Linked DNA regions of Macaca fascicularis. The protein of the gene in region 2 purifies or fractionates together with the protein of the main gene of each other region. This does not show direct contact. Links are inferred from orthologs where the notes say so. Each region holds a gene or a part of one and is shown on either strand. Other genes may lie near its edges. The genes, in order: ABCD3 and PTPN1.

Region 1 (3,819 bases), on a different chromosome or scaffold from region 2:
TTTGGAATAAATATGATAATAATAGACTACTCATTGTTGAATAAGTTCAAAGTACTTTGCATAACTAACAATTTTCATTTTTATAATTCATTGAAAAGAAAGTAGACATGTGCTTAATACAAATTACTAAGAGCAGAAAACTGAACACTTCCTTAAGACTGTAACAAATTAAAAACAAGTCCAATAATCATACTCTTTATTTTATAAACTATCAGACAATATTCCTTCAAAGACAGCAGTAGGAAAAAAAATCCCCACATAAAACACAAACTACAGATGGCCATGCACATAAGCATGTGGAGAGGAATTCCAGAGCTGTGCTGTCCAATACCATAGCCACTACTCACATGTGGCTATTTAATTTTAAATCATATTAATTAAATTAAAATTTAAATTGAGTTTTGCAGCTGTACTAGTAACATTTCACATGCTCAGTATCTACACATGGCTATTTTACTGGATAGTGAAAGTATAGAGCATTTCCATCATCGCAGAAAGTTCTACGGGAAAGTGTTGTTCTAGAGAAATGGTGTCTAGAATGGGGAAGATAGCCTATGTGATAGGAATTTGTTACTAATTATGAAGATTTCTGGATCTGAACCATTCATAAAGCCACAACATAGAGAAAACCTAAATAGTAACCCTTAAATCTGCCAGTCTTACACAATCATACAAAAACATTCAACTTTTGTCTTTTCTTTTTAATTTGGTCTGCCATATCCCATTTCATTAGCACAGTAGATTGAATCAACATCAGTATTTACTTGGCATGGGATTTTACTTGTTTTAGGTGAGTGTCTATTTGTAGCACTACTGTGCGACTCTTCCCCTGTTTTCATCAGTAATAAAACAGTCTGTATTTTGTTTTTATAGGTACAAATCATCCTGTACAGTCACAATAATACCAACCACATCATAAGTTTCTTTTTAATGTAAAGAGACTAAAATTATATTTGTGTTTAAATATTCATTTTACACTGGAGACTCCAATTTACTATATTTTCTATGGCTTTCTTGACATAAACTTCATTTACAAAAAGTTTTTTGGTAGTAGTATTTGAAATTTTGAAGTCCTGTCAATTAAGAAAAATAGATTTCTAAGTGTTTCAAAGACTTACTTTTTAAAGCAATTCTGTGGATTCAGAGACTAAGTCGAGCCTTAAAGTTAATTTAAATATTCAGGTAACCTTTTTTCAGTTCACATTTTAAAGATGATTTAAGCTTCTCCGTCTCAAAAAATAAATAAATAAATAAACTTACTTCAAAATTAAGGTCACGGATCAAAATATCTCCATTTGGCGTTGCTAAAGGAACATGATCAAACCTATAGAGGAAATTCAAAAAAAGAGAACTACTGTAAAGTATATAAGGAACTAATACAACTCAATACCAAAAATACAAATAATCTGATTAAAAAATGGGCAAAGGGCTTAAACACTTCTTAAAAAGAAAAAATTCAGATGGCCAACAGGCATACGAAAAGGTGCTCAACATCTCTAGTCATCAGGAAAATGCAAATCAAAACCACAATGAGATGTCACCTCTCACCTGTTAGGATGACTATTATCAAACAGACAAATGGTAAGTGTTGGCAAAGATATGCAGAAAGGAAACCTTGTATGTTGTTGGTGGGACTACAAATAGTACAGTTATTATGGAAAACAGTATGGATGTTCCTCAAAAAATTAAAAGTAGGACTACTGTATGACCTAGCAATCCCACTTCTGGGTACATTTGCAAAGGAAATAAAATCAGTATCTCAAAAAGAATCTTCCTCCCATGTCCACTCCAGCATTACTCACGATAGTCCGTATATGAAAACTACCTAAATGTCCTTCAGCTGATGAGAGGATACAGAAAATATAGTGTATATAGTGTGTATATATTCACACACACACAAAATACATACAATAGAATATTACTCCACCTTTAAAAAAGAAGGAAACCGGGCCATTTTCAACATAGATGGATCTGGAGGACATTACGTTAAGCAAAATAAGCAAGACACAAAAAGAGAAACACTATATGATCTTACTTGTATGTGGAATTTAAAATAGCCAAACTCATAGAAGTAGAGAGTAGGATGGTGGTTGCCGGGGGGTAGGGAGAGAGGAAATGGGGTTAATATCGGTCAAACGGCACAACAATTCAGTGATGCCAGATGAATAAATCCTGTAGATACACTGTACAGGGACAATAGTAGAAAATACTACATTGTATACCTGAAATTTGCTAAGACACATCTAAATTAAATTCTCACCAAACACACACAAAAATGGTAACTATGTAGAGGTGACAGGTAAATTAATTAGCCTAAATGTAATCATTTCACAACGTATACAGATATCAAAGCATCAAGTTGTATACTTTAAATATTAATATACGCAATTTTTATGTCAATGATACCTCAAAGCTGTTTTTCAAAAAAGCAGAAATAATTTTAAACACTAAGCAATTGTAAGCTGAAAAAGAAAGACTACTATGAAGTTTAACAAACATTTATGGTGCTAAAGAACCTTTTTCTGTACGTACTTTATAATGTTATCTGCAATAATGATTTCTCCAGCACCAGGTATCAAGGGAATGACTTGTACTCCTTCAATACCTTAAATGGAAAATAGGTATTAAAGCATCATATTACGTCAGCAAACACTTAAAATTGTGACCTTAAACTGTGACACTCATATTTACCCTTTTCCTGTTGTGAGACCATTGTGCGCTCATATTTGCCATGATTTAAATCCTTCAGTACTTGCATTAATTCTGTAATCCGAGCAGTAAACCTAAAATTTTAGAAAAGGAAACCATAATCAAAACTCCAGACTACTGTCACATCTTTTATTTTACACCAACATAAGTTCCTAAAATTATAATCTAGTATAAATGAAGTAACCTAACAGTCTCATCAACATAAAGTATTAATGATAGCATGCATGCTTTATTATGTTTCAGTAGGAAAGCAGGAATATAGGGATGAAGAAAGAGGTTTCCATAGGATCCCCAACTCAACAGATACTTCATTAATAGCCAAGTCAAGACAGTTATTTGCTGAGAATTTTCAGGAGGTTTCTCTTGTATACTACAACAGGACCACTACACTAGTATATTCCTTAGACCCAAGAAGTATGGACTCTGAGATCTTGTTGAAGCGGCCTATAAAGCCATGTATAAAGTTGGTCTTTCTATCCAAGGAAGGCATTCATTAAATGTATGCTGAATGCATGCTGCCTTCCTGCAAATGGAAGAATCTGAAAGATTCCCTCTTTCTTACTCTCAAGAGGGGAAAGATGAAGAGTTCTTATTATTAGATAGAAATAACTGTGGCAGTAGAGAAAAATCAAAACTAACAACGAGAGGTTGGAGATAACAAAAATGACCATGATTGCCAAAGAGAAAGTATTCTGCATCGAAGAAGAAAACAGGATTTTTCTCTGAATAACAAGCAGAAACCTCCTAAAGCAAACTTTGGGAGGTGATGAATGCTTATGATCTTGATGGTTTCACAGGTGTATAACTTATCCCCATGTTCATCAAATTGTATACATTAAATAGGAACAGTTTCTTATATGTCAATCATACCTCAACAAAGTGGAGAAAAGAGAAAGAAAGGAAGGCAGGGAGAGGGAGGGAGGGAGGGAAGAGAAAGACATACACACCTACAGAGGAAGAGAAAGAGAAAGAGAGAGAGAGAGTGAAAGGAAACATCCTTAAGAAACAGAAAAGAACCTTACATACCATGAACTGTCAAGCCATAAGAAAAGTTAACAAGTAGGAAGAATGTTAGTATTCTCATGAAAGAGACTCTACTCATAGTAGTTA
Region 2 (3,819 bases):
GGGATTACAGGCGCCCGCCACCACGCCCGGCTAATTTTTTTGTGTGTGTTTTTAGTAGAGACAGGGTTTCACCATCTTGGCCAGGCTGGTCTTGAACTCCTGGCCTCGTGATCCACCTGCCTCGGCCTCCCAAAGTGCTGGGATTACAGGAGTGAGTCACTGCGCCTGGCCGTTAAAATGTATTTTAAAACTGAGTAAGAAGCAAGCATGCCAAACTCAAGTTTTCTTTTAATCCTTGAAGGTGTGGGTTACCGCCCACTGATACCCTCCCTCACACCTGCCCACATCTTTCACAAGGAATTCACTCCAGCCTTGTGCTAGAACAGACAGCCATGGCTGAGAAAAGCCTTTTAAAAACAAAGTCTGTTGGAGCAAACAGATCCTAACATCAAAACCTCTGAGCTGGCTGTATTCATTCTGCCAAGCAAAAAGCACACAGCTCTTCTGCTCTGTTGAAATTCAGTTTCCCTCAACAAGCAAAGAGTTCCCCAGAAGTCACTCTTAATGTCAGGTTTGCAAACGCTAAAAAGCATTTTTTTAAAAGTCTACTGCATAAATCCTCTAGCACATTCCAACATGCTGCCCATGTTACTCCGAGAATCTTCCAGAAAGCGCCTCCATCCACTGTACTCAGAGCCCCTCTGCCCTACCAGGGCTATGGCAGGACTGCTGACTCTGGAGCGGTCACCACCAGAGGGCAGAAAGCACTCGAAGCAGCTGCACTGCTACCGTCCTCAGGAGCCAGGCAGCCTGAACCCCTTCCCTACTTCCTGGTAACCTGTGCTAAATTCTAGATCTTACTTTCACTATTCTATTTTTTTTTTTTTTTTTTTTTGAGACAGGGTCTTGCTCTGTCACCCAGGCTGGAGTACAGTGGTGCAAGTATAGCTCACTGCAGCCTTGAACTCCTGAGCATGAGCAATCCTCCTACCTCAGCCTCCTGAGTAGCTGGACTATAGGGGAGTACCACTATGTCTGGCTAATTGTTTTTGTTTTTTTTTTTTTGTAGAGACGGGGGTCTCGCTATGTTGCCCAGGCTGGTCTTGAACTACTGGCCTCGAGAGTAATCCTCCTGGCCTCAGCCTCCCCAAGTGCTGGGATTAAAGACATGAGCCACCACAGCTGGTTTACATCAACTATGAAATGAATGGCAGGAACCATGATGATTAAAAAGTAGTGCTTGAGAAGGGGAGGCATGGGGTCACCCAGAAGCAGATCCCTCCCCACCCACACAGCCCTGGAGCCCCAGTCCACATGGTCTCCCTACAGCTCCATCTTCCCTTCAGACAAAGCCCGTGCTACACACCCACAGTAACTGCTAACCCTTCCCACACAGGACCTCCCAGAACCCTGGCAAAACCTGCGTTTGACAGAAGAGGAAACGGAGACACCGTGACGAGCTGGTAAGGTGGGACCAGGATTCCACCCCAGTTAGGTTCCAGAGGTTGGTGGCTTGCCATCTTCACTGGCGCCCCCAGGTGCTGCCTCGCACTCCCTCCACTGTTCCCCAGAATGAAACGAACACCTCCAAGTTACGGATCCAGGGGAATTATTCTGAAGCCCCAGGAGCAGAGCCTTCAGTGGTGGTGCTGCTTACCACAATGCCTTGCCATGTCCCAAGACCAACTTTTACCAAGCAAGTAGCTGGTGTTATAAACTCTTCCCACAACAAATAAACCCAATACCAGGCCTAGAAAACTTCCACTAGCTATAAAACTGGAGTGAGACCCCAGACCCCTTCTTCCCTCTCTTCAGACTCAAAGACTGAGGACCACAAAGAAGGCAGCATGCTCCGCTGGGACCTGCAGACTGCCGCTTCGGTCCCTCTGCAGCTGCACAAGCAGGAACCAGTCTTTTGGGTCAGAAACTCTCCTTTCCCTAAGAACCGGTGTTAACTGTTGTTAAAGGTCAGAGAGAGCACTGTGGTTTCCACCCTTTCTGGGCATTCCTGGGCACTTGGTAGGTGCACAAGTAAGCTCCGCTCACCTCAGTGCCAAAACCACATCTTGCTCGGGGTACACAAAAGCCAGGAACACTGGCAGGAGGTAATATCACCCAAGGGATAAAGGAAGAGGCATCTGAACCAGTAGCCGCCTGAAGTGCTGAAGTGCGTGCCATACTCACTGTAAGGTTTTCCAATTCTAGCTGTCGCACTGTATAATATGATTTGATATCTTCAGAGATCAATGTTAATTTCAAGTTTGTGTCTTCAAAGATCATTTCTTTTTCTTCTTTTTGTGGCCAGTACTGTGCGCATTTTAACTGGGGGAACAAATAACAGTGAATTATTGTGAGCAACCATTTTCCTATGGCAGGAGGCCTGGAGCACATCCCACAAGCTTCATGATAACCCAAAGACCTGGGGTTTTCTGAACATGGAAGCCATGGTCAGCACAGATGCCTGCTTCATGGGGAGATGGGGGTGGGGGCACGAAGCTGCTGACTGGGGCAGGTTGTGCAGACAGGGCTCAGACTTCCAAACCCATCAGCTCCCTGGTCAAACACGGCAATGGGGTCCTGCAGGGCTCTGACGCTTTCTCACAGTCTATGAGGTGAAGCCAGATTGTACAAAAGGCTTTGAAACTCCTCTATGTAGCCATTTCAAACATTACACAGGACCTGATCAGGCTGCTGGCATAGAATGTAGGTGCTTTACTCTGCACAGAAAACTCACAGGCAATTAAAAATAAAACTGGGAGAGACGGCAGGTGAGGCCCTTTGGAAAGGCTGAACGGTTGTCACCAAATGCAGACTCCCTTTCAGAGAAGGCTTGGAGACGGGCTCCCCAGGGCTTGCCCTTTCATTCTGGTTTGGTTCAGTTCATTCAGAAAAATACTTTTGATGTTCTATTTTGATAATCTGAGACACTATTTGATGTTCTCGATTTAAATGTAGCTTGTTAAATTTTTCTTTAAAACAAGCAAATTTATGAAAATTTGGTTTCATTTAGGGTCTAAGACAAAAACGGACTCGAATTTAGTGACATTTACTGAATCTGCCTCAGTTATGCAAACGTTTCTGCTCATGGATAACTGTTGTGGACAAAAATGGCAGATCAACAGGGGCAGAGCTACCGGGTCAGCCTGACCATGTGCCTGGACATAGGGAAGCTCAAAGCCCTTATGATTTTCAGCGGAAGAAATGTCAGCGTGTGTCAACAGCTCTTTGGCAAATGACACTTGCAGTTCACGTGCACTGACCCACTCAATACCTCCTCTGGGGCAAAGGATGGTGTGGGTGAAGGGAACCACTTCAGGGCCAGCTGTCTGTGAGGAGAGACTGCTGTACCCAGCAGTGACAAGGTGGGCCACGGAGGAGGGCTGAGGGGGAAATGCTACAGACAGGCAGCAGGAATTCAGAAGAGGGAAATGTTTCAGGTCAGCCAAAGTTACAGGAAAGAAAGATCAGAGAAAGCTCTATGCAAGAGGCAGGTTTTGAAAGATGACTAGGATTTCCTAGGCAGTGACTGCAAATAAGCCAGGCTGAAAAGAGCAGCTGGAGAAGGGGCCAGCAGAGGCCCAGATCACAGCCGACTGGCAGCAGGCCCACGGACCTGTGGCATCATCTGGGGGCAATGAGGAGCCAGGAAGCACTTGAAGAGGGTGAATATAGAACCACAAATGCCTATTGGTCCTGCTCTGCTGAAGCTGGAAGCTGCCCAAAAGACAAAACCAAAGCAAAATGTGGGAGAAACAAATTAAGAAACACTAGGTTGTGATGCCAGCATCACAGCAAACTTCTCAGTGCCAGACCAGAAGCCAACAGAGCTTTCTGAAGAGTCTGGACACGGGCCTGTCTGAAGTCTTAGCCAGTTTCATC

What was found.
Region 1: the proteins of PTPN1 (region 2) and ABCD3 purify together in Homo sapiens (affinity purification with mass spectrometry; 3 studies listed by BioGRID and IntAct, with this or other methods). This does not show direct contact. The link is inferred for Macaca fascicularis from reciprocal best matches to the Homo sapiens genes PTPN1 and ABCD3.

Annotation. Positions count from the first base shown.
Region 1 is NC_088375.1:139,934,749-139,938,567, forward strand, and holds part of ABCD3 (ATP-binding cassette sub-family D member 3), read right to left. Parts: intron 2,784-3,819; coding exon 2,692-2,783; intron 2,606-2,691; coding exon 2,533-2,605; intron 1,325-2,532; coding exon 1,261-1,324; intron 1-1,260. UniProt on the Homo sapiens protein: Broad substrate specificity ATP-dependent transporter of the ATP-binding cassette (ABC) family that catalyzes the transport of long-chain fatty acids (LCFA)-CoA, dicarboxylic acids-CoA, long-branched-chain fatty acids-CoA and bile acids from the cytosol to the peroxisome lumen for beta-oxydation.
Region 2 is NC_088384.1:106,672,073-106,675,891, reverse strand, and holds part of PTPN1 (tyrosine-protein phosphatase non-receptor type 1), read right to left. Parts: intron 2,263-3,819; coding exon 2,125-2,262; intron 1-2,124. UniProt on the Homo sapiens protein: Tyrosine-protein phosphatase which acts as a regulator of endoplasmic reticulum unfolded protein response. Mediates dephosphorylation of EIF2AK3/PERK; inactivating the protein kinase activity of EIF2AK3/PERK.